Astyanax mexicanus: one gene and its partners. The main gene of each other region encodes a partner of the protein of the gene in region 4 in a complex. Links are inferred from orthologs where the notes say so. Each region holds a gene or a part of one and is shown on either strand. Other genes may lie near its edges. The genes, in order: itgav, itgb8, nrros and tgfb1b.

The links.
Region 1: the proteins of tgfb1b (region 4) and itgav are in contact, whole or in part, in a crystal structure (PDB 5FFO), measured with the Homo sapiens proteins. The link is inferred for Astyanax mexicanus from reciprocal best matches to the Homo sapiens genes TGFB1 and ITGAV. Residues at the interface, in NP_000651.3 of Homo sapiens: Gly242, Arg243, Arg244, Gly245; in NP_002201.2 of Homo sapiens: Asp178, Asp180, Phe207, Tyr208, Gln210, Ala245, Asp248.
Region 2: the proteins of tgfb1b (region 4) and itgb8 are in contact, whole or in part, in a cryo-EM structure (PDB 7Y1T), measured with the Homo sapiens proteins. The link is inferred for Astyanax mexicanus from reciprocal best matches to the Homo sapiens genes TGFB1 and ITGB8. Residues at the interface, in NP_000651.3 of Homo sapiens: His117, Thr241, Arg243, Arg244, Gly245, Asp246, Leu247, Thr249, Ile250, His251, Gly252, Met253; in NP_002205.1 of Homo sapiens: Ser156, Ala157, Ser158, His160, Asn161, Asp213, Tyr214, Asn215, Leu216, Gly248, Asn249, Ile250, Asp251, Thr252, Glu254, Gln286.
Region 3: the proteins of tgfb1b (region 4) and nrros are in contact, whole or in part, in a cryo-EM structure (PDB 7Y1R), measured with the Homo sapiens proteins. The link is inferred for Astyanax mexicanus from reciprocal best matches to the Homo sapiens genes TGFB1 and NRROS. Residues at the interface, in NP_000651.3 of Homo sapiens: Leu30, Ser31, Thr32, Cys33, Thr35; in NP_940967.1 of Homo sapiens: Phe194, Glu195, Ile196, Glu197, Gly198, Gly199, Phe201, Leu210, Leu212, Pro218, Cys219, Ile220, Val221, Asp222, Phe223, Gly224, Leu225.

What each region holds. Positions count from the first base shown.
Region 1 is NC_064418.1:49,337,984-49,346,100, forward strand, and holds the start of itgav (integrin alpha-V), read right to left. Parts: upstream 3,347-8,117; 5' UTR 3,078-3,346; coding exon 2,917-3,077; intron 30-2,916; coding exon 1-29.
Region 2 is NC_064410.1:2,967,702-2,975,381, reverse strand, and holds the start of itgb8 (integrin beta-8), read right to left. Parts: upstream 3,138-7,680; 5' UTR 2,832-3,137; coding exon 2,606-2,831; intron 1,392-2,605; coding exon 1,306-1,391; intron 1-1,305. UniProt on the Homo sapiens protein: Integrin alpha-V:beta-8 (ITGAV:ITGB8) is a receptor for fibronectin. It recognizes the sequence R-G-D in its ligands.
Region 3 is NC_064413.1:1,024,166-1,031,955, reverse strand, and holds the start of nrros (transforming growth factor beta activator LRRC33), read right to left. Parts: upstream 3,043-7,790; 5' UTR 2,937-3,042; intron 1-2,936. Other genes in the region: fbxo45 (F-box/SPRY domain-containing protein 1), read right to left, coding at 5,995-6,180. UniProt on the Homo sapiens protein: Key regulator of transforming growth factor beta-1 (TGFB1) specifically required for microglia function in the nervous system.
Region 4 is NC_064424.1:5,653,002-5,660,749, reverse strand, and holds the start of tgfb1b (transforming growth factor beta-1 proprotein), read right to left. Parts: upstream 3,049-7,748; 5' UTR 1,357-3,048; coding exon 1,014-1,356; intron 1-1,013. Other genes in the region: b9d2 (B9 domain-containing protein 2), read right to left, coding at 5,078-5,391, 6,596-6,721, 6,861-6,948. UniProt on the Homo sapiens protein: Transforming growth factor beta-1 proprotein: Precursor of the Latency-associated peptide (LAP) and Transforming growth factor beta-1 (TGF-beta-1) chains, which constitute the regulatory and active subunit of TGF-beta-1, respectively.

The DNA of each region.
Region 1 (8,117 bases), on a different chromosome or scaffold from region 4:
CTTTCGGAGCGCCGATCAGAACATTTGACCTGAAAAAATACAAATAAATACATGAATAAATAAAAAAATAAAGGAATAATAATGTCCACATATCGATTAGTATAGAGCAATTACAATGGTATCAAATAAAATAAGATTTAATGTAATGTACATATAATTACACAAAAATAAAGATATAGACAAAAAAATGACAATACATTAGAGTTAAAAATAACTTAATATTAAAAAATATTAAAGTAATACTCTATAAAACTCAAATAACGAAAAGGAATTGTACTATAGTAAACGTATGGGTAACTAAATTAAAAGAGCAGTAACTGTACTATATTGAAAGTATAGGTACTGTATCACAATGTAAATCAATTAAAAGAGCAGACATTGTACTATAATGAGAGCATTAGTACTTTATCACAGTCTAACTCAATTAAAATAGCAGTAAATCTACTATATTGAAAGTATAGGTAATGTACTACAATATAACTACATTAAAATAGAATAAACTGCACTACAGTGACAGTATTAGTACTGTATCACAATGTAACTCAATTAAAAGAGCAGTAACTGTACTATATTGAAAATATGGGTACTGTACCACAGTCTAACTCAATTAAAAGAACACTAACTGTACTATATTGAAAGTGTAGATACTGTATCACAGTCTAACTCAATAAAACAAAACAAAAAATAAACTGTACTAAATTGAAAATACAGGTACTGTATCTCAATGTAACTCAATTAATATAGCAGTAACTGCACTAAAGTGGTAATATGGGTACTGTTTTACAGTCTAATTCAATAAAACAAGCAGCAACTGTACTATAATAAGAGTATTAGTACTGTATCACAATGCAACTCAATTAAAAGAGCAGTAACTATGCTATACTAAAATATAGCTCATGTATCACAGTCTAACTCAATTAAAAGAGCAGTAATTCTACTACAGTGACAGTATTAGTTCTCTATCACAATGTACAGCAATTAACACATAAGATTAAAAGTTCTAATCCTGTAAGAGTCAGGACATGTTTTGCTTTTTTAGTGGTATAAAATGTGGTGGGTGATGGGCGGAGTCTTAAAACATCAGCATAGCTGTGGGCAGTTTCATTCTGCACTGAAATAAATTCAGTCTGATGCTTTCACAACAACTCTTCTGCACTGGGCTTCCTTTAAAAGTATGATTAAATACTCCATTACTGATTTATTTTACATAATCATAGTGGGTTTGGATTGAATGTGTTGTGTTGTATCTCCTGAGTAATACTAGGGGGTAAAATGTGTTTAAAATGACTCCACTGTGGGTCAACAAGTTTCTTAATACTTGTCAATTGGTACAGTCTGGACCATTTAAGGTGGACCGAAAAGTTTCAAAAGCAACAGAGTTAAAACATTTCAAAAGAAAGCTGTAGATCATATGGTTCTAAAAGTTGGTGTAAATGCCCAGTCCACCTTAAATGGTGAACTAGCTGCACTCTAGCGCCAAAGACTTTCACTTTGGGTCTACAAGTTCCTTATATTTGGTAATTGGTACTTTCTGTATCATTTAAGATGGACCAGATAGTTCCAACAACAACCAAACCACATCTGTAGATCATACTGTTCTAAAAGTTGGTGGAACTGCCCAGTCCACCTTAAATGGGGAAGAAGTTGCACTTTATATGCCTGAGGCTCAACTAGAAACTCCACTGTGTCTAACTACAAGTTCCTTAATACTTGGTACTCTTTGGTACTCTTTGGTACACTCTGTATCATTTAAGGTGGACCAGATAGATCCAACAAGCAAACCACTAAGCTTTTTAGACACTTCTTCATAAGTAAGCTGTAGATCATGCTGTTCTAAATGTCAGTGGAAATGCCCAGTTCACCTTAAACTGTGTAGAATTAGCACTCAATGCTGAGCTAGAAACTTCATTGTGGATCTACAAATTTCTTTATACTTGGTAATTGGTACTATCTGGACCATTTAAGATGGACTGGAGAGTTCCAACAACGAAACTCTGCTTTTACACACTTCTTTACTAGAAAGCTGTAGATCATGTGGTTCTAAAAGTCAGTGGAAATGCCCAGTCCACCTTAAACTGTGCAGAAGTTGCACTCTAGAGCCTGAGGCTTAACTAAAAACTCTAATTTGGGTCCACAAGTTTCTTTATACTTGGTAATTGGTACTCTCTGGACCATTTAAGGTGGACCGGAGAGTTCCAACAACAACCAAACCCTCAAGCTTTCTGACACTTTTTTTACAAAAAAAACGTTGTTTTAAAAGTTTGTGGAAATGCCCAGTCCTCCTTAAACTGTGCAGAATTAGCACTCTAGAGCCTGAGGCTTAACTAAAAAACCCACTTTGGGTCTGACCATAAGTTCCTTTATACCTGATACTTAGTACTCTATGGACCATTTAAGGTGGACCGGTGAGTTCCAACAACAGCCAAAGTCTGCTATTACACAATTCTTCACTAGAAAGCTGTAGATCAAGTTGGTGGAAATGCCTAGTCCACCTTAAACTGTGCAGAAGTTGCACTGTAGCTCCACTTTAGATCTGACTATAAGTTTCTTTATACCTGGTACTTGGTACTCTCTGGACCATTTAAGGTGGATCGGAGAGTTCCAACAACAGCCAAAGTCTGCTTTTACACATTTCTTCACTAGAAAGCTGTAGATCAAGTTGATGTAAATGCCCATTCCACCTTAAGTGGTGCAGAAGTTGCACTGTAGCGCCTGAGGCTCAACTACAAGTTCCTTTAGACTTGGAACTTTCTGCATCATTTAAGGTGGACTGGAGAGTTCCAACAACAACCAACTCTCTGACTGTAAGTTTCTTTGTACTTGGTACTTGGTACTCTTTGGACCATTTAAGCATTTAAGGTGGACCGCAGAGTTACAACAACAATCAGAACCCCAACATTTTTTAAACACACTTACTGTTTATCAGAAGGCTTGAAGAAGAAATCCACAGAGAACCCAAAGTAGCTTCCCTGCGGTCCGGAGAACACGTACGGGTTCTCTATGTCCAGATTAAAGGAGGTTCCGGGCTGGAGATACAAGGTTAGTGTTAGGGAGATCCAGAAGAGATGGTACTCCATGGTTCTGCCGGGCTTTCAGCTTCAGAAGAGTCCAGAAGCTCTAATCAGTGCACACACACACTCTCATATACACTCACACACACTCACACAGCCGCATACACCCATAGACACTCATAGACAGTCTCGCGCGCTACATCAAAGACATCAAAGCGTCCCAGTGTAGCGTCTCGCCGGCGCGCGCTGCTCCAGTGTTATGGAGGAGTGTGTTATGGAGTGTGTGTTGAGGTGCGTGTTCTGGGCTCTGCTCCGCTGATGTTGATGTTAGCCGGGGGTGGAGACGATTAAACAGGATGTGACAATTTCTGTGACGTCACGGGGACTTCCTCCATCTCCACATAAGGACTGATCCAGTCTAGACTCAGAAGTTTTAGTAAAAAAAAAACTATTTATGATGTTTCTGTTGCTTCTTTTCACGTTTTTGGTGATTTTATTGTATATTTCTCCCCCTACTGTCAGGCTGTGTATATATACAGCTCTGGAGAAAAGAGGAAATAAAAGAGTATTTATTTGCAGAAAATGAGAAATAGCTGAAATAACAAAAAAAAATGCAGAGCTTTCAGACCTCAAATAATGCAAAGAAAACAAACAAGTTCATATTCATAAAGTTTTAAGAGTTCAGAAATAAATATTTGGTGGAATAATCCTGGTTTTTAATCACAGTTTTTTTTTTTTCATGAATTTTGGCATCATGTTCTCCTCCACCAGTCTTACACACTGCTTTTGGAGAACTTTATGCAACTCCTGCCACTTTAAATGCATCCATCTTCCTCTTGATTATATTTCAGAGGTTTTTTAATTTGTCAAAATTAAAGTAGTCTCTTATTTTTTTCCAGAGCTGTAGATGCATAAATATATACAGTACTGGATCTCAAAAAATGAAATATCATTGAAAAAAAAGTTACTTTATTTCAGTAATTCAGTTAAAAATGTGAAACTCATATATTATATAGATGTATTAAACACACATAGTGATCTATTTTAAGCGTTTATTTATTTTGTTGTTGATGATTATGGCTTACAGCAAATGAAAACCCAAAAATCCGTGTCTCAGAAAATTTGAATATTATGTAAGATCTTTCGGCAGTGTGGGCAGTGTGCCAAGTCCTGCTGGAAAATAAAATCCGCATCTCTATAAAGGTTGTCAGCAGAGGGAAGCATGAAGTGCTGTAAGATGACATTGATTTATGTTTATTTACAAATTTAAAAAAAATAATAATACAAATAATATTTGCTTTTTAAAAAATAAATAAAATAAACAATAATAACAATACTAATTTATCAACACAATAATTTTGTTTTCTTTATGTTATGTAATCTATATATACAATTTAAATAACATAATGAGAATGAGTTTTATATATACAATTTAAATAACATAATGATAATGAGTTTTTTTAATATATGGCAGTCTGCTACATGCAGTGCCATTAATTGATTTATTGAATCATCATCCCATAATGAGCATAGTTTTTAACAATTGCTGTTTATTATTAGTTTCAAAAATAATTATCACAATGATAATAAGGAACATACGCTCATCACTGAATGTTCTATACAACCCTGTATCAGTTTTGAAATTGACTCAAATTAAAATAAAATTTCACTAAAATATATTATATCTGATTAAAACTTTAAATCTCTCTTGAAAAAAAGTTGTATTATTTATTATATTTATAAGAACAGCAGCAACAACAATAATAATAACAGGGTGTGGTCAGTAACTCAGAGCTTTTAATGGCTGGACTTTAATGGTTTGAGCTCAGGCTCAGACAGTCTGACACACACACACACACACACACACACACACACACACACACTTTATTCAGACTTGGCCGAGTGTGAGTCATGCTTTAGGAGTGTGTGTGTATAATATTGTGTAAATAGTGAAGGTCTCTGGTGTTGTATGAACCATAAGGAGGAAACATGGAGTGTGTATATTGTGTTTGGCATGCATCCACACACATACACACACACACACACACACACACACACACACACACACACACACACACACACTCACACAGAATAATCCCAAACCCTGAAAAAGTTTCTCGGCTTTCCTTCAGACGGAAAAACAAGGAAGGCCTCGTTGGCACATTCCACACACAGCTCAGAGTACCATACACTACAGAGAGCCGGGTTCAGCAACACAGCTAAACACAGTACATTACAGTACAACACAGCACAGCACAGTACAGCACAGCAAAGCTAAACAAAACAGAGTACAGCACAGCTCAACACAGCTCAGCACAGCCCAACACAGCACAGCACAGTACAGCACAACACAGCACAGCAAAACACAGTACCGTACACTTCAGTACATCAGCACAACACAGCACAATACAGTATAGTACAGCACAGTACAACACAGTAGAGTGCAGTACAACACCGCACAACATAGAAAATCACAGCACAGCACAATACAGTACAGTACACTTTAGTACATTAGCACAACACAGCACAATACAGTAAAGTACAGCACAGTACAACACAGCAGAGCACAGGTGGAGGAAATGTACTGAACTCAAAAATACTGGATACCAGTGGGACAAAATACAGATATCACAAAATATCTGATACATTATCGATTTGTGGCGTCAAATATTAATATTTTTTTATTGAACCATAGTCGCTATAAACTGGGGGTGTGCCGAAATATTGAATGACATAATAACAGCAAAAAATTCATATAATTATTTACTGATATTCCTAAAACTAATGACCTTACTTAAAACTAGAAAAAATACTACCAAGTGGTATTAATCACTGTAATAAAGTGGCCAGTAAATGAAAGCCCAATGTTACAGTAGGTGTTTGCAAGTCTTTGTGATGCATCAAGAGCCGCGGCATCCAGGGTAATGTCAGCATACCACCAAGAAGGACCGACCACATCCAACAGGATTAACTGTGGACGCTGTCTGAAAGGGATGTTCGGGTGCTAACCCGGATTGTATCCAAAAAAATCACGCAGAATTCAATGTGCACCTCAACTCTCCTGTTTCCACCAGAACTGTCCGTCACCACAATAAATTATTGTGCTCTAAAACCAGGTGTTCCAGTTTCATTCTCCAACCCCTGTAGTGGCCAGTGGGTGAAAGCCCAATGCTACAGTAGGTGTTTCTGATAAGGTGGAAACACCAGGTATGGTGGGTGTTTCTGATAAAGTGAAAGTATTTGTTATTGTGGTATTGTCAGAGAGAGAAAGTGAAATCAGTTCAGTGATTTTTTCGGTTCTGTTCTTTTGGTACGCACTGTTATAAAGCCGCTGTGCTGCTGGGAGATAAAAGGGTCAGCGCTCAAAGTCCTTCTGTTGCTCTGGAGAACAATCAGGCTCTGTGTGATAGAGCTGACCGGCAGTGCATGTGGTCAGAGGGGCTTTCGGACACCATGTGACTCAGAGAGCCAGTGAATAATTATGTTTCCCTGATGAGTAAATTACACACAGAGTACAGTACAGATACTGTACTAAAATAACTGAAATCATCCCGTCCTGATCAGACCGAGCCTCAGTCACTCACAAGATAACACCTCATAATTTCTACAGGTTTTAGTTTCCACAGTCAGTGATGGTTTGGAGAGACATGTCTGTCATCTGCTGGTGTTGATCCACTGTGTTTTATTATCAAGTCTAAAGTCAGTGCAGTTTTGTTTTCCCACAAAATCGTACAGCACTTGCTCATGCTTTCCTCTGCTGATAACAACTTTAATAGAGATGAGGATTTCATTTTCCAGCAGGACTTGGCACACTGCCCACACTGACAAAAGTACCAATTGGTCTTATGTAAAACAGAGTTTATAAAGTGTTTAAATCAGTTTCTCTGATTTTGCTATTTATAGGTTTATGTTTGAGTAAAATGAACATTGTTGTTTTATTCTATAAACTACAGACAACATTTCTCCCAAATTCCAAATAAAAAATATTCTCATTTAGAGCATTTATTTACAGAAAATGAGAAATGGCTGAAATAACAAAAAAGATGCAGAGCTTTCAGACCTCAAATAATGCAAAGAAAACAAGTTCATATTTAAGATGCAGAGCTTCAAGAGTTTAGAAATCAATATTTGGTGGAATAACTCTGGTGGTTTTTAATCACAGTTTTTTTTTCATGCATCTTGACATCATGTTCTCCTCCACCAGTCTTACACACTGCTTTTGGATAACTTTATGCTGCTTTACTCCTGGTGCAAAAATTCAAGCAGTTCAGTTTGGTGGTTTGATGGCTTGTGATCATCCATCTTCCTCTTGATTATATTCCAGAGGTTTTCAATTTGGTAAAATCAAAGAAACTCAATTCTGAAGCAGTCTCTTATTTTTTTTTCTGTTTATTACTTTTCAATAATTTTCAAATGTTTAAATGCACCTATACTTTCTTCAGTACTGCATGTTAAGCAAGTTGTATTAAGTTGTGTTGGACCTCCAGAAAGTCAGTCGTGCTGAAACTGTTGCAGTGCAGTGTATTAGTTAATGGTCATGTTTTTGAGAGTCTGATCACGGAATCGCCACTAAATCAACACTGAGTTTGCAGGAAAAAACACATTCCACAGCATCGTAATGTGAGAAATTCCTCCTCTATCTCTGTTTCTGTCTGCTTATATTAGCTGAACTGGACCGATTTCAGAATCTCCATCAGCAGAGTGAGATACGAGCCTATCGTACAAATCCCAAAGCCTGAATAATGAGCAGATCCTCTGGTCAGGAACACATTCCTACGGGTAAAAAGGTGAAGAGGTCACTACAGACATGATCACTAAATAAACTCACTCAGAATACAAACCCTGGAAACACTGCGCTTATAAAGATCAGAGAAAAAAGACAGACTATCAAACTGAACACAGAATAAACTTCGGATTCACCATCAAATACCATTTAAAAGACTAAATCCTTCTATTTGTTTAATTTTAATAACTTGTGTCCTTTATATGAGTCAAGATTATGACCTAATAGTAGTCAAAGCGGAGAAACAGCATAACTTCGTAATAATCAAATTATATGCAGGGTTTTCTAAAACTACAGCATCTGTAAACCTTTATCTGTCTTAA
Region 2 (7,680 bases), on a different chromosome or scaffold from region 4:
TTATGGGTTCCCACGGCCACTCCGGCCCTAAGCGGCTTGTTAAGAGGGTGCTGGAGCTTAAGGGGGCCCTGTGGATGCAGACGGAGACCAGGAGTCCAGCAGATGTAAGGAGGGGTGCTTGGGAGGGGGTGGGGTCAGTTAGGAAGCTGGGGGGTGACGAGAGAGGGGGTAGCAGGACTTCTACAGGTCAGACTAAACACGACCCAAATCGTGAAAAGGAATGCTGTGTGTTATTATATATACAGCTCTGGAAAAAAAAATAAGAATCCACTTCTGTTTCTGAATCAGTTTCTCAGATTTTATAGTTCTATTTATAGGTTTATGTTTGAGTAAAGTGGACATTGTTGTTTTATTATATAAACTACAGAAACATTATCCTCAAATTACAAATACAAATATTGTCAATTATAGAATTTATTTGCAGAAAATGAGAAATGGCTGCTTAGAGGTGAGTATTATCGGCCTGTAGTCTGCTGCTAACCCCGGCTACCACTGCTGGAGCAGCATTAGCACTATCTGCTAACCGTGCTAAATGCTAGCTCTTTTGTCATTCAGAGGTGAGTGTTATCGGCCTGTAGTCTGCATGTAACCCTGGCTAGCACTGCTGGAGCAGCATTAGCATTATTTACTAACTGTGCTAAGCGCTAGTTCTTTCGCTGCTTAGAGGTGAGTATTATCGGCCTGTAGCCTGCATCGAACCCCGGATACCACTGCTGGAGCAGCATTAGCATTATCTGCTAACTGTGCTAAATGCTAGCTCTTTTGTCATTCAGAGGTGAGTGTTATCGGCCTGTAGTCTGCATGTAACCCTGGCTAGCACTGCTGGAGCAGCATTAGCATTATTTACTAACTGTGCTAAGCGCTAGCTCTTTCGCTGCTTAGAGGTGAGTATTATCGGCCTGTAGCCTGCATCGAACCCCGGATACCACTGCTGGAGCAGCATTAGCATTATCTGCTAACTGTGCTAAGCGGTAGCTATTTCGCTGTTCAGAGGTAAGTATTATCGGCCTGTAGTCTGCGTGTTTACTGTGTTAAAACAAGCTATGTGGGATAAACCACTAGTGCTGTTGGGAAATCTGGAATTCTAAGCTTACTGTAAATAAACAGAAGCGCTTTTCTCACCCAAATAAACAGATGTAATGGGATTTGGGAGGGGGTGGGGTCATTTAGGAAGCTGGGGGGTGACGAGATGGGGTAGCAGGACTTCTACGGGTCAGACTAAACACGACCCAAATCGCCCGGTCTGTTGGAGGGAATGCTGTGTGTGCACCAAGGCAAAATGCACAGCAAAAGCCTCCACATTACCTTCTGAAAGCACCAGGCACATTCCGGTCCACGGCTCAGGCATTCTTCGCAGGATGAGACGAGGGGTGACGCACAACGCTTCTCCGCTGCGACACAGAGGAAAAAAAAGAAAACAGAGCGACGTGATTTACACATGAATGAGGAGCAAGTCTCTATCAAGCCACTACCCTTTCTGCACTCTTCTCCAGCTGCTACGCTTTCCAAAAACATCACGCACACCCCCTCCTGAGAAACAGCCCGGCGTGTCGGGGTTTCAGGCGGTCAGTTCGAGCGCACAGCTCACTGAAGAGGAGGGGAAGCAGTGTGAGCAGTGCACCTGCTACGCTCCTGCTAAGTGAGGCATCAGATGTTTAGTGATCTGAGTGATGGAAGTCTACTGATAAGCAGAATTAAATATACTAAATTGCATAGTATTAGCTAGGGAATATAATATAATAAAATAATATGGGGATTCTGAGATAATGCAGACATATGATACCATGTTCCCCAATTTCTCATACATACCTGATGATGCTGATACTCAAAATTGAGAACAAAGATAAACTGAGAACAAAATCGACAAGTGTGATGCAGGTTTAAACAACCTGTCAGACCTCACAGTACCAAAAAACCACAAAAAAAATAAATAGAACACAATTTATCACATTATCACGTTCGGTTTCTTTGCCTTAAGAAGCTCTTGTGTTCTTTTATCATAAAGTATTCATACAGTATTGGGCGGCGCGGTGGCGCGGTGGGTAGCACTTAAACCACTATAGGCTCAATTCATTTGACTGCTGTTCAGTTAAAGTGCAGGCTCACCACAAGGCATCACCAAACTTACCTACACTGCCTCCACCATGTTTGACAGATGATGCGTTGGCATGCTTCAGATCAAGAACCAAGAAATTAACCAATCAAGTCAGGCTCAACACAAAGCATCACCAAACGTGCCTACCTACCTACCAACAGAACAGTAGCATGTGCATATATAGCCCCTCTGCTCTCCAGCCAATAACACTGCCTTCACCATGTTTGACAGATGATGCGTTGGAATTAACTTGAACTCTAACTTTTTTTCTATGAACTCAAGGTAAGTCTCAGGCTCAACACAAGGCATCACCAAAGTTACCTACCTACCTACACTGCCTCCACCATGTTTGACAGATGATGCATTGGAATGCTTCAGGTCATGAACCCTACTTTTCCTTCTCCATACTCAAGGTGACAACTAAGTCAGGTTCAACACAAGGAATCACCAAACATCATCCAATCAGTATCACACTCACAGTCATCACGCTGCATCATACATCATACTCACCCAACTGACAGGACGCAACAGCGAACAGAGTGATGATGAGGATGATGAAGACCAGCGCGCTCCGGAGGGTAATGTTGCGCTCTTCACGCGGCCAGGACGTCATAGCAGCATCGAGGGAATCAGGAGCAGGAGAAGCGGCTCGAGCGTGCAGGTCGCGGGGGGAACGCTGAGAGCTCTTCACAGCCGCGCGCTCCCAAACAAAAGAGAGCTTAAAATCCCGCCGCATTCACACACACGCACACACATACACACACACACACACAAGCGCGCGCACACAAACCCAAGCAGCAGCAGGATAAAGCAGTCAGATTATCACCGCGAGCCCCCCCCGGTACAGAAAGCTGCTTTGCCTGTGCAGGAGGGAAAAGCACGCGCGCTGCGGGCCGCAGGTAAGGCGGCCATGCCGGGGCTTCGCTACGGACATTGTCGGCCTCCGGTGACCGGAACTGTCGGTGAGGCGCTGAGGGACGGTCCGGCCTGCGGACGCATCAGTCCGGTTTATGTGAACGCGCGCCTACCGGCCTGCCTTTATCCGGGAGGAGGGGGGAGAAGAGGGGAGGAGATACTACTGTATAAACAGTGCTGAGATCAGCGAGGGGGCGGGGGGACACCGTGCGGGACTTTTCTCTCTTTATATTCACCTCTCTCTCTCTCTCTCTCTCTCTCTCTCTCTCTCTCTCTCTCTCTCTCTCTCTCTCTGTCTGTCTCTTTTTATATCTCTCTCTCTTTCTGTATCTCTATCTCTCTGTATCTCTTTCTGTTTCTCTCCTTATATTTCTCTCTCGTTTTGTAGTTTTCTCTCTCTTTCACTACCTTTCGTTATCTTTCTCATTCTCTTTCTTTGTCTCTCTCTGAATCTCTCCCTCTCTCTGTGTATCTTTTTTTTCTGTATGTCTCTCTTTCACTATATTTCTCTCTTGTTCTGTATCTCTCTACACTCTAAAAAACAGAGGTACGATATGAGTACTTTTTTGTACTCGAAGGTACACTCTTTATAATTGTACTCTCAAAGGTATAATATTGGTCTTTACAGGGTCAGATTTGTTCCCTCTGAAGTACAAAGTCATTTCTAACAGCAATAAGTACAAATTTGTACCATTTAACCAGCCAAAGGGTACATTCAGTATTCTGTATCACTGTACTAATGAACAATATATATTTAAATTGCACATGTTTTATTTGAAAGCCAGACAATTTTGTATCATCAAGTTTTTGAGCCATATTCAGTTGATGATAATGTTTATAATCTTTATGATCTTTACTGGCACAAAAACCATGGGTACAAAAAAGGACTTTCACTGAAAGGTACTTTTTTGTGCCTCAATATAAGGTACAGCCCCAGCGACAAGCTTTGTACTCTTTTAAGTACAAATCTGTACTTATATTTCTTAGAGTGTATATCTCTTTCTATACCTCTCTCTTTCATCTCTCTGTATCTCTCTCTTTATGTATGTCTCTCTTTCACTATATTTTTATCTCTTTATCTCTCTTTATGTATCTCTTTCTGTATCTCTCTCTCTGTCTCTCTCTGTGTATGTCTCTCTGCCTGTCTTTTTCTGTTTCTCTGAATTTCTCTGTCTCTCTCTGTAGCTTTCTCTTTCTCCTTCTGTATCTCTCGGTCTCTCTCTCTGTTTGTGTTTCTCTCTGTCTCTATCTCACTATCTGTATCTCTTTCTCTGTCTGTATCTCACTCTCTGTATCTCTCTCTCTCTCTGTCTGTGTCTCACTTTCTGTATCTCTCTCACTCAAATTCAAATAGCTTTATTGGCATGCATTGCAAACAACAACTGTTGCCAAAGCAAACATTTCAATAAATACAAAAATAATAAACAAATTATGACAAAAGTGAAGGATAATAAATAAATAAACCCTCTGTATGTATCTCACTCTATGTGTCTGCATCTCTGTTTCTGTCTCTTCCTGTATCTGGTTAACCAGTCCACAAATATGAATTCTAATTAATAATATATAACATAAAATACTTTGCAACAGCATATCTACACATGGCTTCTGAGAAAAAAAATGGTGTTGTATACACTGCAGCCACCATTACTGTAAATAAAGTTATATATGTTAGCGGCTAGCAGGGGGATGATGTGGGACTTTTCTCTCTCTCTTTCTGTTCTGTCTCTTTCTCTCTCTCTTTTTACTACCTCTCACACGTCTCTCAGTCGTCCTCTGTGGTTTGCAGTGTGTAGGTGTGGGACGTTTGTGACTTATTTCCTCTTCCATTCATAAAAAATAGGTTGCAGCCTACCTCTATTGTTAGCAGCAGTTAGCTGTGTTTCAGTCACTCACTCTGCTGTTTACCTCCAGAGCTAAACTAAGTAGCATGTTAGCTTAGCTAGCTGTTGGTAGTAGTAATAACAGTCATTAAACTGGAATTCTGTTGTGAAAATTATCTTCATTGACCATCTTAGATTTCGACCAGCATTAGGTTTGTTTTGTTTCTGATTGAGTTTAATGGTTTTTAGATGGTCTACAAGCAAGATAAGCATGACCAAGTTAGATAACAAGTATAACCAAACTTAACTTATGTAAGTGTGTTAGCTATTTAGTAAACTTAACTTAACTAACTTAACTTTTAGTTTTTTGTTTATAATTTGGGTGACTTCAGTGTTAATCTACAATCCAGACTTAATTTTAAACTAAAAAAAAAAAAAAAAAAACATAAAAATGGGTGTCCCTATGTTTCACTGTATATGTTACTGTACATTATTATATTAATAATTTGAAAAGTCATAAAACATAAATTTATTTTTTCTGTTGTTTGTTTTCTGTAAATTTCAGTATATACTGCTTACTGTATGTAAGTTAACCCTTGTAAAAGGAAAGTGTATTAAGTATATGTTTTAAAAGTTAACATGGAAAAGTACATACTTTTGTAAAATAAAATAATTATATACTTAATGCACTATTTTGGAACAACTTATGGCAACTTAGTTGTAATTGTTGTAATTAATAATAAACTTCTGTGAACTTTTTTAATGCACTTAAAGTATATTGCAAATGTACTCCTTTGCGTATAGATGTATATATTGTGTACACCTTAATGCTACTAGAAAAAAGTACGCCGTATTTAAGTATTGTAAGTTTATTGTTAACACTCTGTTAACCATAGGATTCTCATTTTAATGAGCTATGGTTTTTTTAAAGGTTAAACGTATGACGTTGATTCAGCCATAACATCTACGTTGATCAACGTTTATTCATTTGAAGCATATTGCTTAAAAATAAGTTTTATGGAAAACTTAAAGTATATTTATTTTTTTATTAAGATAAAAAAATATTCAAAAATATAAATATGGCTGTATTGTTTATTTTTCTTGTCCGACGCAGAAAGTCTCATCTTCAGTGAATGTGATTTATTCATTACTTTAGCTCCTATAATCATAAACCATTCACATCATACATAAACATAAAGTTTAACCCCGTGACCCCTGCAGCACACATACTGTAGCTGTACAGCGCCTATTGTTTATCTGTCCACCAACAAACTCAGCGTGAAGCATTCATCCAGCGCCAGCTACCTTAACACCATATAATTTATGTAGCACAAACCTTTTTTTCACTAAGTGGGAAACCGTCAAGCAAATGCGCACGAATGAAGCTTCAGGGCCAAGATGAGTCCTGCACCACGCAGGGTGGAGACGCAAGACAATAGTCTCTCCTATTCCCCATGGAAACAGGCCTGAATGGAGGAGCTGGGGAGGGATTTAGGAATGGATCCAGCCTCGGAGCATGCGTCCGTATTGGGGGAAGAATGCAGGACGACTGAGAGATGGCCCCTAATGAATAGAGGAAAAAGAAAACTGAGCGAAGGGAGGCTGCTGTACTTTACCGCCAACATTAATGAGGGGGTAATGTAGGTCATTGCCCTGGAGCCCTACATTAATTGTATAGGATTTAGCTTTTTTTGGATTTTTTTTTTTTTTTTTTGAGAGTAGGGGGGTAGTAATGCTTACATTGGAACAAACTTAGCATGACATAGTTACCCAGGTCTGAAAACACTGATTAAGGCTACTCTTTGTTTCCTTTGTAGTCCGAGACTAGGCTTAATCTGCGTCCAAAAAGCAGCTCTAGGGATTTGAGTCTGTTTGTGAGCCTGCGAGGCAGAAAAGTATTAAGTTCATAAACTCGGAACTTGATACAGATAGTTGCTGGACTCTAAATGAGACACACTTTTACAAACAGAGCTTTCTAAATGGTTCTTGGCTCAGAAAAAAAAAAAAACATTATTTCCAATATTGAGCCTTTATAAAATAACTTGTTAAAGATTTATGAACTTTTAAAAGGTTCTTCACACTCAAATATGATAGAAAAAACATCATTATGCAACATACTGTATTCTTTAATATGAGGCTCTCAATTCATTTGCATTTTATTGCATAAAATAGAATTAGTTTTTCTTTAAGAAGTCCTCCAATTTTGCAGTCATTACCTGTATTAATTGCACCTCTGTTATCTGTATAAAAGACACCTGTCCACTCAATCAATCACATGGCCAACAATCACAACCTCCTTTCCTCAGTAACAGCATTGAAGATGTGGCTGGGTCTTCCAGCATGACAATGACCCAAAACACACAGTCAGGGAAACTAAGAAATGTATGCATAAAAAAAAAAATGAAATAAAGTTGAACAAACAAAATAATTTATTCCTTAGGTTCATACTCTCTGCAATGAAATAAAATACTTTTTTTAGTTTTCCGAAACACTGCATTCTTTCCCTTTCTGTATCTACTTGTTATTTTTTTCTCTACCGACCCTTTAACCATATTTAATCATATTTTTGTACCTTTATGTTAGGGCTGTGCGATACTGCAAAATTTGGTATCAATCCAATACCAAGTAAATACAAGGCAAATACTGCTGATACTGATACAAATACTGATACTTTTTACTACTCCCATCTTTCCCATTTTGTGTGGGGGAAATCAATGTATCATAAGTTATTAAGTGAATGCATCATCAATATGTTTATATATTTTTCATGAATATTTAATTATTTTGTAAGTTTTCCTTTAATGTATCATGTTTATGATGATGATAAAACATTACATGCCATCCATGTGT
Region 3 (7,790 bases), on a different chromosome or scaffold from region 4:
AGTATCTACTATAAATGATTCAGTATCTACTATAAATGGATCAGTATCTACTATAAATGATTCAGTATCTATTATAAATGGATCAGTATCTACTATAAATGATTCAGTATCTATTATAAATGATTCAGTATCTACTATAAATGGATCAGTATCTACTATAAATGGATCAGTATCTACTATAAATGATTCAGTATCTACTATAAATGGATCAGTATCTACTATAAATGGATCAGTATCTACTATAAATGATTCAGTATCTACTATAAATGGATCAGTATCTACTATAAATGGATCAGTATCTATTATAAATGATTCAGTATCTACTATAAATGATTCAGTATCTACTATAAATGGATCAGTATCTACTATAAATGGATCAGTATCTACTATAAATGATTCAGTATCTATTATAAATGGATCAGTATCTACTATAAATGATTCAGTATCTACTATAAATGATTCAGTATCTACTATACATGGATCAGTATCTACTATAAATGGATCAGTATCTACTATAAATGATTCAGTATCTACTATAAATGATTCAGTATCTATTATAAATGGATCAGTATCTACTATAAATGGATCAGTATCTACTATAAATGGATCAGTATATGCTATAAATTATTCAGTATCCACTATATAAGGGTCAGAAAATGCTATAAATGATTTAGTATCTATTACATATGGATCAGAATCTATTATAAATGACTTAGTATATACTATAAATGATTCAGTGTCTACTATATGTGTATCAGTATCTGATAGAAAGGATTCAGTAAATGCTATAAATGATTCAGTATCTATTATAATCGGGTCAGTATCTACTATAGATGGTCAAAAAATGCTATATTTGATTCAGCATCTATTATAAATGATACAGAAAATGCTATATATAATTCAGTATCTATTATATTCGGGTCAGTATCTACTATAGATGGTCAAAAAATGCTATATTTGATTCAGCATCTACTATAAATTATTCAGTATCCATTATATATAGGTCAGTATCTACTATAAATAGTTCAGTATCTACAATAAATGGTTCAGAAAATGCTATAAATTATTCAGTATGTTCTATAAACGAATCAGTCCCTACCATGAATGATTCAGTAGCATCATTATTTCAACGATGGTGATCGAAACAAGATTTCCAACCTCGATTGGACTGTCAGATTATAATGCTAAACAGAAGGAAGATAATGGTCACCAGAACCAATACATATAAATAAAAAAGACTAATATGGGCAATTAAGCTATTAATAATTAAGCTATGCATACAGAGGTTTCTGAAGATGCCCCGCAAAAATCTGAATCTGAAAAAAAGCACAAAAGAACCAGCGAGGACCTGCAAAAGACTCTAGAGAGGAGAATACCCACCTGAAGTGAGTCCATCAAATGTTTTAGTATTGAATATAGAGTTGTTTAAAGGTTTAAACTTCAGTTATAAACATTTTGAACGCTTTGTCTGTATCTCCATCATCAGATTACCAACAAAAAATGCTAGAAAAATGAAAATATACAGCTACGCTTTTTTATTTAGTAAAATAAAAAACATAATTCTACTTTCTAATAGTTAATAATAATTATAATTATTATTAATTACTACACAGTTTAAAAAGATAATTTTAGTTGTTTAATAATGTCTTACGTAACCATTTAACAATGTTTATTAGTGTTGTATGTATGGTTATTTGTATTACTGTAATTATTTTAGTATTGTAAAGTGTTACCAAAAACTAGAGTATTGTCTGAGGATAATAACTGCACTATTACTTTTTCAGGCACTGCTAAAAGGCACGTATTATTATTAAAAATAGACCAGCATATTGATTGATTACTGATATCAGACAGTATTGATTTCAAATTAAATCTGATTAATTTTTATGAGTAAAAAAAGCATAGTTGAGACTTACATTTAAATTTCACGATACAGTTAAATACTGCTATCCCATGACTTTTGGCATTTTAAAGGCGTTACTAGAAGTAAATGTAAATATTAGAGCAAATAATACTGATTGGTTTACTGATTTTTAACCCTAAAGCAACCCCCATCACCACCCATTTAAAACGAAATGAAAATTGTTGGCAACTTTTAACAGATTTAATTTTTTTATTAATTCTTAAAACCTCATAATCTTAAACAAAGGAGGTTAAAATAAAATAATTTAAAGAAAATCTGCTTCCCTTTTCTTACTTTTATTTAATTTAAAAAATGTGTAAGACTTCATCTTAAGTAGATTTTTTTCTGATTATTTTTGATTATTTTAAAATCTATTTTTTCACCATTTTTACTCATTGTAAGCAGCACAAAAGAAGTGCTGTGCCTTTTGTTTACATTGTTTATATTGTTTACATTGTTTACAGCACCACATCAGCTGGGAAGTGCTACTGTGGTTGTTCTTGCAGTTCTTGTGCTCCGAGTTTCACGAATGTGAACACAAAAGCACTGTTCACTTCCTTTAGTGATTTCAGAGTTTTAAAAAGATTTTTCTAAAAACTCCTGGTTTAGTTTTTATAACTTTTCTGGATGGACCATGTTAGAAATTTTATTTTTTTTGTTTTAAGTTTTTTTTGTTTTGTTTTTTTTTGTTTGTTTGTTTTTTTTTGTTAAATTGAACTTGTTTCAAGATTCTGAACTTTCATTATTTTGTTTTTTTCCAGCAGAAAACTTATAGAAATGTTTTTTTGTATAAAACAATTTAAACAGAAAGAAATATTCAATTAATAATAATATAGTACATATTAATGATATATCACTCATAAAACATTAAAAAAATGAAACCCCATATACATTACGTGGTTCACTGACCAGACGTACTGATGATAAACCCATTTATCAGAGAACTGTATCATTACTTTCAGTATAAACCCTTTCTGTGTGCTGTTATATAAAGAGCATCATCAGATTAACCCTTTACAGTGTGTTCACTCACCTGAGGAGACAGTAAACGGTTCTCCACTCGTTTATCAGCGTGTGATTAATCCCCCTCTCTTCAGCAGCGTGGACTGAAGCAGTGCGTGTATGAGTGTGTATTAAAAATATCCTGTGGAAGTGAAGATAGAGAGAGAGAGAGAAGCAGTAGAGGAGCCTGTAGCAGAAGAATGGGTGGTATATACCCCCTTGTGGAGGTTAAGAAGTAGACATCAGCCCTTAATTATTCCATTTATACACAATTCTATACATAAGAAGAGCTAATAATGGGGATAAAACATCCTCTAAAAGCTTTACTGTGGGAAGAAACTGGGCTTCTCAGAATATCTTATGTTATTTAGGCGATAAATTGTCCCAGAAATAAATGGAATAAATTATATTACTGTCACTTTGAGACCACGGTCATTTTATGCCACTGATATAACAATTATATAACAATAATAATAATAATAATAATAATCCCATTTAAAGAACAATAAAAGAGCAAAACAATTACAGTAATTATTCATCTTCAGACATTAAATTTCAGATATAGAAAATGTTTAAATATCCTCCTTATTCAGCATATATCAAATTAAACACACACTTTTTGCTTGTTGAAGTGGTAGTAAACACAATGGGCAATACCAAGGCCAGCTAAATTATTAATTAAATTATTGAGATCACATTACATATATATATATATATATATATATATTTTATATTCATACTTTTATGGACACGCGGATTTCATTTTCCAGCAGGATTTGGCACACTGCCCACACTGCCAACAAAAGTATCAATTGGTCTTCTTATATAATATTCTAATTTTCTGAGACACTGATTTTTGGGTTTTTATTGGCTGTAAGCTTCATAATTAATAATCAACAATAAAAGAAATAAACGCTTAAAATAGATTATTCTGTGTTGACTACATCTATATAATATAATATGAATTTCACATTTTAAACTGAATTACTGAACTAAAGTAACTTTTCAATGAGCTCATATTTTTTTTTTTTTTTTAAGATGCATCAGTAATGAATTTACATCATTTTTATACTCATCCACCCACACTTTCAGTGACCTCTCGTGACCTGTGGATGGAGAAGCACTGAGTAAAAAACACCCTCATCAAATCAGAAATGTTTTTATCATACAGTGGTGGAAAATATGTATTTAATACAAAACCTATTTTCAAGTTTTCCCTCCTATAAAGAATGTAGAGGTGTGTAGATTTTGATCATAGGTTCACTTTAACATTGAGAGACTCATTACCTGCATTAACTGCACCTGTTCCAACTCGTTACCTGTATAAAACACACCTGTCCACTTAATCAATATACAATTACCTACCTAATCAATCACACTCCAGCCTCTCCACCATGACCAAGACCAGTGATCTGTCTCCAAACACCAGAGACTAAACTGTAGAGCTGCACAAGACTGAGATGATCTACAGCAGAACAGGCAGCAGCTGAGAGAGAACAACAACTAGCGTTTAATTATTAGAAAACAGAAGAAACTGAAGATGAATGTTAATGTTCTTCTTCTTCTTTAACCCTTGTGTGGTGTTCATATTTTTGTTACTCGTTTACTTTGTTATTTGTATTTAATTCAGCAAAATTAAGCAATTCTACATTAAAATGCTTTACACATGCTCGCTTCACCTAAATTGCAAGCAATATAAACAAACAGCTTACATGGTTAATATTTGCCCTTTACCTTTCTTATGTTACATTTCTTTCAAAAAGTGCTACTCTTTTTTTATTAGTTTTTTAATAAAATGTAAAAGAAAATGAATTAAACTCAAGATATGAGTAGAAAATTTGTTTAGTTTCAAATTTACAAATGAAGCAATGTTTATTAGCCCCATGGCCAATCATACTGTATGTAATATAAATGTGTAGAGAGGGGGGGTATACAGTGTGTGTTTATCAAAAATGTGTTTTGATATATATCTTTTTCACAAAAAATGAGCCAATCCCAATGAGTTTGAGTTAGAAAAAATATTTTTTTAGTATCATTTGATGAAAAATGAAAACGAACACCACACAAGGGTTAAAATTCTACATCTGGTGTGTGCTTTATGTTCTTAGTGTGAATAAAATCCTATATATGGTATATTAGATACATTTTATATTACAAATCATTGTAACATTACATCATCTGATTTTATTTATTTATTTATTTCCTTACGTGGAACTGAGGTCGCATTCATCACCTGTCTGAACTTCTTTCTTTCTTTTTTTAAAGAACAAAAGGTAGAAAACTACAACGGCCGGCACACTTTCACAGACTGGCACCATATAGTTTATTTACAGGTCCCACGACCTCATCGATATCAAGGATAAAACCTAATAAATAAATATCATACACTAGTACATCACAATTGAGCAGTACAGTAACATTGTTACAATAGGTTTTCTTTTGGATTTCCTGCACAAAACACCGACGTCCAAAGACGGCATCGACTTTACTGCATGCAAAGTACTCTAGTGAACTCCTCTAGTGAAGCAGCCTCGCCCGAATCCTCGCCCGGTTCCAAATGGTCAAGCTGTGTGGAGGTAATAAGAAGAAGGTGGTTTTGGCATTGGTCGTTCGCTGCACTGCTGGATCTGTTGGAAGTCCTAAAGCCATCCCTCCGGTGCGTCAGTGGATCAGGTACAGACAGTAATTTGTGTTAAAGACGCTTTTTGTTTTGTTACTGTGGATTATACGGTTAGACGATCAGGATCGGAGGGGGGTGTTAGGGTTAAAACTTGCCACGTGCCATCTAAAGTGGTTTGGCTTTGATTAATCTAGGATTATGAGCTAGCCCAGTGTCTTTATTTTTTGATAAATTATGTGATATAAATCAGTTTCAAAAACAAAACAATAGTCCTCAACAGCCATCAGGGGGAGCATCCAGAGACGTGCCGGATCCACGGAAGAAGCGTGCAGTGGAGAGCCTCGCCGTTCCCCCCCCCCTGTAAACCTTTAGAGTTCCCCCCGTACGACTCTCGGTGCTCTGACTTGTGGACGTCTCTTTCCTTGGCACTCGTGATGTCTATGACGTCTATGTGGCACAGAGACGGTCCTCAGCCATCCAGAGGCTTCCCCAGGTAGACCATGGTGACCTCCGTGTTGCCGTACACAGCCGAAACCGCAGGGAAGAGGCAGGTCTTGGGCAGCCCTCTGAAGGCCACGCCCAGAAATTCAAAACCTCGCTCGAAGGCCAGCGTCTTGTCGTCCATGTCCAGGATCACGCGTATTCTCTCCCCGATCTAAAACAAGATAAAAAATTAGGATTTAATCTGCTTGGTTTGTTTCCACACAGGTACAAATTGCCCACCAAAATGCACCAAAATGCCCACCAATAAACCACGCAAGCACATCAGAGTCTAATATGATTTGACAAACAGTGTTTGGTGTGGGGGGAAAAAAAGAGTAAATATAGTGATGATAAATATAAGATTCTGTGTTCCAGTGCGCATATATGCCTATCATTGCAGTGTGAAGCTGATTTAAAACAGAATGCTGAACTTTTTGAACAGTGTTTTTAATGGGAAGTAGTGAACACTGCACAGACCGTGCTCTTAGTGTGTAAACAGCACGGAGCAGCAGAGCCAGTGTTTGTTTATAGCTGTGGTACAGCACTATACTCTTGAGTCTTGAAGCATCCAGTGTGCCTGCTCTTGTTTACTGTAAATAACAGGTTTTAAGTTTACCTGAATATATTTTTAGTACCTTCAAATCCTCAACATCTCCTAAAACATAAACAGTCACTATAAAATGGGACTGTCTAATAGAGGATGTGTTTCTACGTGAGCTAAATGAGACAGTAAAAAAAATTGCCAGCTTGGATTATAATGTGCCTGATAAAAATGTGATTGCATCAGTCTTTGCTGCAAAAACTGGAGCAAAGTTGGACCATGCAACAAGACAATGATCCACAACATTCCAGTAAATGCACATGAGAGAGTATCAGAGTTCAGAGTATCAGAGTTCTATTTCAGACGAACGAGTTAAAAGAAAAACTTTGTTACTTCTGAATTTTTTTATATATTTTACAGTTCCATATTTAGTATTACTACTTTCTAAACTCTCAATATTGTTTTAATGAGGATTAAATGTGCATATGTTTTAATTTGTTAACCAACCAGAGTTTTCCCCTGATTTTTTCACAAGGCTGTATTTTATTTGCACTCTGAACAGAAACACTATTTTCTGGTACTTCTTCAGCATTTATATGGCTAGAATGAAATGAAAGGCATTAGTGGCTATTTATAAAAGCAAGGAGGTAATATTATGCTTGATATGTGCATTGTATAATGCAACAGACTAAATTGAAGCACATTTAAAAGAATATAAATAATATTTACTTTTTCTTGTGCTGTGCTATAGAACAAGCTGACTGGAATTCAAATCCAATTCTAATTGGAATAAAAACCATTTTATGAATGTAACCGATACCTTAAGTGCTTAATGACATTTCTGGCACCAGTGCAAAAAGCGAGCTAATGGCACTAATTTGCTAATGGAGCTTAACAGAGCTAAATATGGCCTACATTTCCAGGATTTCTCAAAAACAGGCTGTTATCAAACAGTCAGCAACTCTTCATCTGATTTAGAGTTGGCCACAGAATGATTTATGTTTTTAATATTAATATTATTAATATTATTAAAGCACCTCACTCAAAACAGCACCCATCTATAGCCAATCAGATCGCTGTTTTGGTCTATAATTATTTGAGATTAGGTACACACATCACCTGTAGAGAAATAAAAAGAGGATTTGGTATGGTAATCAGTTAGCCATGCAAACTTTGCATTGTCAATGTTTTTGCTTAAAGAGGCACAAAACCCTAAACCATCTTTTTTTTAATTAATATTA
Region 4 (7,748 bases):
ATTCCAAGTCTGCCTCATAAAGCTGACTCAGAAAATCCAGCCAAGACCGACAAAACTAATATAAAGATATAAAAATCTACAATCTTGTTGACTATAAAAAAATAATATTAAAAAAACCCACTAAATTTAAAGTGTCCATACTTTTGACTGATACGGTATCTACCCAATACCATTAATGTTACTCCAATCATCAATACACATTGAAGAACTTTTGTACCACAAACCTAAAGGATGGTAAAATCTATTATTTCATTTGCTAAACAAGTTTTATATCAGGTTTAACCTTTTATCTGACAAGTTTTATCTTGTCATTTATCAGTTGAGTGCACTATTTGTCTAACTGAGCTCTTTTTGTTTCTTTACTTAGTTGAGACGTTCTTCTCATAATATATTTTAGAACATTATTCAAATATTCACTATTCACTGTATACCTGTAACTCTACCTCTTCACTACTTTACTTTAACTGATGCTCTCAAACACTTTATTAAGAGGCAAGAAATTCAAGTAATTAACTCTTGATGAGTTCAGCACAGCTGTTAACTGAAAGCCTGAATTCCAGGTGACTCTACCTCATGAAGCTGACTGAGAAAATCCAGCCAAGGCGTGCAAAACGAATATAAAGATATACAAATCTACAGTCTTTAAAGTGTTTAAACAATTAAAGAACACTGAATTAATGCACAACGTTTGTGCCACCAACTTTTAGGATAGTAAAATCTATTATTTCATTTGTTAAACAAGTTTTATATCAGGTTTACCCTTTTACCTGACAAGTTTTATCTTATCATTTATCAGTTGAGTGCACTATTTGTCTAACTGAGCACCAATCAATCAATTATTAATTGATTTCCTCACAAGATTCAAACAGTACTTTTCCTGCTGATGTATAGACCTGCCAGACATGACAATACTGAATTTACATGTGAAAACGACAACGGTGGTCAAGCTAGATCACCACACCACACCACACCACACCACCTATAAATATATATATATATATATATATACTCACACCGGGTCATGTTGAACTTGTGAACCTCCTTGGCATAATATGCCTCCTCCTCTGCCTCCTCAGAAGCCATGCTTGCGGTGTTCTGCGTCAGCTCCTCGCTCAGCTCCACCGTGCTGTTGTAGACGGACAGCACTTCTTCTGGAACCTCGTCTGTCTCCTTTTCTTCGTCCACCTCCGGCTCCTTGGCCAGACGCAGCTTGCTGAGGATCTGCCCTCGGATGGCCTCGATCCGCTTTTGTTTCACCAGCTCCAAGTTCAAAGGCTTGCAAGTAGACAGAGCGTCACTGTGGGATGCAGACTGCAGCAGGCACAGCAGTGCCAGGATCAAAGCCTGCGCCTTCATCCTCCGCAGATGGCTTCGTAGGGTATATTTAGGTCCTGAGGAAAGCTCGGCGCTGTTTGAGGGAGGTCGAGGAGGAAAACGGTCTGCTATAGACTTAAAGCGTACGCACTCTGGATGCTGATTCCGCTTCAGTATTCCAACACAAAATTTCCATTGGCCAGAGGCGCCTTTTCTTGAGTTCCAAGCTCCGGGGTCAGGATCAGAGTCACTACACCGCTGAGAAATTGCTGCCCATATCTGTCTTGCTGGCAGGCAGCCTTGCTGGATCTGACAAACTCCCAAATGAGCTCTCAGGGATCCAACATGCTGCCACACAATAAACTAGAGGAAACCTCACTTGTTACCACACATTATCTGCAGAACACAGGGCACGACTCACCCCCGTGACTCCAAAATTTCAATACATCACTGTACATGACAGCTAACTGGAGCTACTCCTCTTTTTTTCTGTCTCAGTGCTGGCTTCACAACCCTTGCTGTGGTCTAAACTTAACCTAAAGGAGTGAAAGAGGAAAAGGAAGCAGGATAGCTTAACAAAGTGACACAACACTTCCTTTACCACCAAGCAATTGCCCAATCAGACTTGCTAACAAGCTGTGTACAACTCAGAAGTTTATACTCACAAGTCTTAATAAGGCACTCTAGACTGCCACACAAGACTGCTGGACAAAACACTGTGCAAAATATACAGCGCTCACATACTTGTGCTCTCACATCAAACCAACATAGTTTCCAGCACCATTAGAAGAGTCCCAAGAGCCCCAGAGTCTGGGATAAAACACAAAACCAGTACTAGTCAATACAGCCTTTCACAAGATCAGATCACATGAGTTATAAAAAGCTAATCCTCTCCACAAATTACTGAAACAACCAAAATTACCAATCCAATTAGATCAAACCTCTCAAATCTCTCAAACGCATCTCAATCTCCCAGACTCTTCTCTTCAAAAAGTCAAAAGACAGAATCAGCTCCCACAGGGAGCTTCCTAATTTCAAGCTGTGAACAAACAGTAGTGTCCCAAGAAGGCAAGGAGGTTTCCACAGAGAATTAGAATCAGAGACACCCAAACATTACGCCAGCTGCACTCAGACCCACAACACAAGCCTTCTGCTCTCAGAAAAAAAAAAGAGCAAAGCTCCCTTCTTCCTCCCCGCCCCTTCTTATTCTTGTCTCATCAGCCATTGGTTCAACAACTAAGAGGAACTCGGATATAAACAGGACAGGATGACAATACGCCACAACACCCTACCACTGTCCCCCATCTCAGCACCTACCTAAATTCAGACACACACTGTGTTACAGTTTGTAACACAAACAGGAAGGTTTCTGCAGCCTCGAACAGAAAATACGAGCAGAGGAGAACACTGACACATCAAAAGCCATGAAGGTTCCTGTGTTAAGTTAAGCTATTTTAAGGAGGTTGCACATTTTCTGCTAAACACTCTACTGCTTTTGAATCGCACATTGCACCTCTGAAAGAAACACTTAAAGTAAAAGAGACACTGTTCCTTTTACCCTCATCTTAGCTTGCTCCTCGTTCCTGTAACAGTCGCTAGCCGAAGAGAAAATGATTTGTGAAAGCGCAACGTTCCGTGCAGGACAACCGACTCAGTAAACCACAAGTGTTTTTCAGCTTTCTTTTTGCTGTAACCACGCAGGAAATGAGCATACTAAAACATCTGCAACACATCAAACCTGGGGTGACTTTGCTCTCATCATCAGTAGCAGCAGCATACAGAATACAGAACACAGGGTGGTATGGATGTGCAAATCGAAAGGAGCATGAATTGTGATTAATTGTAGGGGGTGTGAGCGGGGGACATACAGAAGATTACAATTTTCATTAAAGTGGAGGTGTATTATTTTATTCCTAAACTGAAAGCAGAAGCATTTCTGAGTGAAGAAGAATGTATTATGTATACAATATTGGTTTGTTTCAATGGTACCAGTTTAATGGAACGACCATCCCTATTAAGCCGAATATATTCATTCTAAAAACTGGGTTGTTTGGTTGCTTTTTGCAGGAGTTCTTCTTCTGGCCATGTCACGTGTCTTTACGTACTTACGTCACATTTTTTATGTACTTACGTCACTCAGTTTTACTGAACACGAGCGGCTGGTGGAGCAATGGAGACTTCAGAAGAGGAAACTCAGAGCTCAGTAGCTCATTCACTCATAGTAAAACCAAAGAAATGAAGTAGTGAAGTTTCTGACTGAGCTCTCTCTCTCTGACTGAACATCTGAATCCTGGAATCTGATTTATCCCCTCTGAAAGGAGACCGCATCACACCTGCTCAGTTTAAAATTATTCTTCCGCATGCTCGGTGCAATTACCCATTCTCACCAGAGAGGGCTCTAAATCACTAAAATCCTAGAATTTACAGACATCAGCTTAAAATCTCAAAAAACACAATGTTATGCAGTGTATGCTAAAGTGTATTCCTTTAGCACAGGGGTTTTTAACATTTTTTTCCACTATGAATAATAGTGTCTTTTCTCAAGAGTTTACCCACTTTATGTGATGTTCCAGACATGTTTTAACAGGACACAAAACAGTGCAGAATATAATAATTCACTGAGAAATTCTGAAGTCAGGTTTTGTGCACATTTTCTGTCTTTTGCATTCCTGCTTTCAGTTTCAGTTCTACCTGGAGGTGTACACCCACAACACAAAGTGAGAAAATGAGTGAAACTGAATCTGAAAGTTGAGCCAAGCAGACAAAGAAGAAAGAGTCGGTCTGATAAAATGAAAAGACGACCCTAGATCAAATCAGGATCTGATTCTCTGGACGTTCTGCAAAATAAAAATCTTGCAACCCCCACCAAGTGACTATATCAGGGCTAGTGATGAGACAAAATATCAATATTGCGATACATCATATTGTTTTCATTTGCGATATATTATCTATACATGGCATCAAATATGGATTATTTTGTATTAAAACTCTGAACTCCCTAAGACTCTAAGATACCCCAATTTGACTTATGCCTTATTTCTTCATATGGTTGCCCTAATCAAACGAATAGGGTAAACCTGCAGTAAAGAATATTGATTGTTAAGTTTTGTGAAACTGAAACACCAATAAATCCATAATCTTGCTATTTGATTATTTAGGAGTATTTTATCCTCTTCAGTAAAACAGATGCAGTGAAATATCGTTGAGAATTATCTTGTGATATATGGAGTTTTCCAGAATCACAGTATCAAGATATCATCATTATCCTGGGCAATAAATTGTGATAATATTTCTTCGTGAAATGCCTGCTTTAGCAGTTGCATGGTCACTGTTGTGCTGGCAGTAATCAAAATAATTGTCTGGAGAATGGAAAATTTAAGAATCCATAACATTTACTTCTGTTAAAACACGACACATACTGCATTATTAAAAAACAAATCACATATAAAATTGGTTGTAGAAAATCAATATTTTTAAAAAGTGATCAAAGCACTGTAGTGAACATTATCAGTCAGAGTGAGGTGAAAAACACAGAACGTATCACTGCATTGCTTCATACACATCCAAGAATGCCATTTCCCTCTTTTCCATCCAGAGCTGTGGTCTGGCTTATTCAGAAACCAGAAGTCAAATGACTCATACATGTCCATTCTTTTAAAAAACGCTCTACACTGCATAACACACCGCATAACAACTCCACTATATTCCTAATAAACAACTCAAGTCATTCTGCTTATATCTGCACACTAAAGGTGTCCCACACTTAGCTCTCCACTCCGTATCTGTCAAAATGCCGCAGGATGACGCAGAGGTCCAGCTCTACATTGCCCATGGCAACAGTGTGAAGTCTATATCGGTCCGCTCCGCTGTAAATGAGGTCAGGAGAGCGAAGCTGAGGTCCTCCGCCGACAAACATCTGAGCTAGCTGCTCCTGCCAGGTCCCCAATGGTCTCCAAGTGGCACACTGCAGCCGGTGCTGGCCAGGGCTGGACGGGATGTGGCAATAACCATAACCATACAGCTCACATCTGCCAAAGGAATCCTGATGCCACACTTGAAGGTGAAGCTTTGGCCAACCTTTAAAAAAAAAAAAAAAAAGTTTTAGAAATTCTGATTGATGGGCACATTGCACCAAAACTAGACTCGATGTTAGACTAGATTTATATTATTTAACTACTGTACTTTACGAACTAGAAAAAAATTAACAATAGCCCAAAAAGGATCTAAGGAACTAAATTGTATAAACCAGTGGTTCTCAAACTGTGGTATGTTTACCACTAGTGGTACTCTAGATTACCTCATAAAATTAAAAAAATAAAATTCTGCTTGTATTAAAATATTAAGGACTGAAAACTATAAAGTTTCAACTGGAATTTTCCTTACATTACATCTGTTAGTGTTTAGCGCTTTACCCATTAGAAACTGTATTTAAGCCTACACTTCAGGCCTTTACTCTCAGAACTCAAGTTTTATAATTATTAACAATTATTAGTTTTATTGGCCCCAGAGTAAAACCATGTGGAACGCCACAAGATATGCTAAATCCTTCTGAAATCTCTCGAACTACACACATTTAGGGCATTTTCACACTGTCCTGAGTTATAGAGTCAGCACCCTGGACTGATTCTTGGCTCGTTTGGGAAAGAGGCTCTTAATAACTGGTTTGTTTTCACACACAGGAACTCTTTTCAAACTGTGGATTGAACACACATTACTGTACATCACTTTTCTAAAAGAAGTTTCACAATATCTTCGTCCATTTGTTGCTTTTCAGTATTTTTATTCGATTCAAAAAATTAAATGGTGAGAAACAAGATTTTTCACAAGAATTTTTTTTTTTTACATTATGGGTTTATTAGGCAGTAGGTACTATTATACTGATAGAAAGGGACGTAACATGATAAGTGGAAGAAGTTACATTAGAGAGTGAACCAATCACACAACCCTACGCATGGCACAGGGAGAGGATAGCTTACACAACTGCAGCGAAAGCTTATTAGAGTCCATTTTAAACTAAACTTCAGACCACATATTTCTAGAGTACTAGATATTGGTACCAATTGGGACCAATTTCAGGCTCAATAGCATGTCTCCTTTTGTTTATTTATATTTACAGTTGATATGCTAATAATCAATGATCTGTGGAGTTGAGATTTCTTTTTTTAATCATCATTTTTTCGTGTCTATGTGGGTTTGTGTGTTTCTATAATGAATATCTTTAACTATTAAATAAAATAAAACATTAGAAAAAAAGAATACCTGACTGAAATTTCACTCATACCTTGAAGGCCCTTAGTGGTGTAATGCAAGTCAATAGGATGACTCCAGTAAGCTGTGTCACCTATCTGGGGCATGTCCACTTGCGTCTGTCCTTCCTTCAGTCCAGAGAGGAGCCTCCATGCTCCTCCTGATGGGCAGATTGAGAGAGACACAATGAGAATGAAACTAATCCAGGTTTAGATTCATGAACAACAAAAGCAAACACCTTGCAACCAAAACTAAAAAGATTGGAGGGATGTGAGATAAGATTAGAGACGATTGGATACCTGTGTGAACACCCCACTTGCAGAACAAACTACTCTGAGGGAAACCGCTGGCCCCGACAATCTGTCCGATTATGTGCAGCTCTGCCATAAGACTCTGCAAAAGATTGGAAAATGAGTTACATCTGAAGATTTTTTTTATATAAAAAAGATGAATAAAGGAAAAGAAAGAAAGAAAGGCAAAAATAATAATAAAAAAATACATACAAAAAGACATTTTTCTTATTATAGTATAAAATAGGTCTGTAGTGTGAACCAGTTTACAGTAGACACTAAACAGTAGGTTGGAAATCAGTAATTAAAATGATAGTACTAATCAATCAGCTAACTAATATCAACATAATATACCCCACAATTCACAACAGCGAAAATGCAATAAAAATAAATAAATAAAATGAATAAATAAAATAAATAAATAAAACATAAACCTTACAAAACTGTTTCTGAATTTAATTATATATCTGATGTAGAATATCTTGACAGCAGATCCACAGAAGAAAGCAACAGTGTAATCTAATAAGTCAGCTACTCTTTCTGTACATATGGAAGTGATTACATATATATGAAGAGAGCCAATATATCCATTAAACCCACAACTGCTGTTCTAAAGAGAAGCATGCGATTACATCTCACTCAGATTTCAGAAAAGAGCATTTCTTTTCCATCCTATATTTTAGGTTTAGAGGAATTTAAATCTAAATCAGTGACCTCATGATTCAGTCATAGTGGTGTTTATTGCGATTCTCAACTGGTGGGTCAGGACACGGACACGTTCTGGGAGGGTTACAGACAGCTTTATAAAAAAGAAATACATTTAAAATATAAATTAAATGAAAAAATAATTCATGCTGATCTGATGTTGTACTGTCCTTTATATTGAGGAAAAAGAGA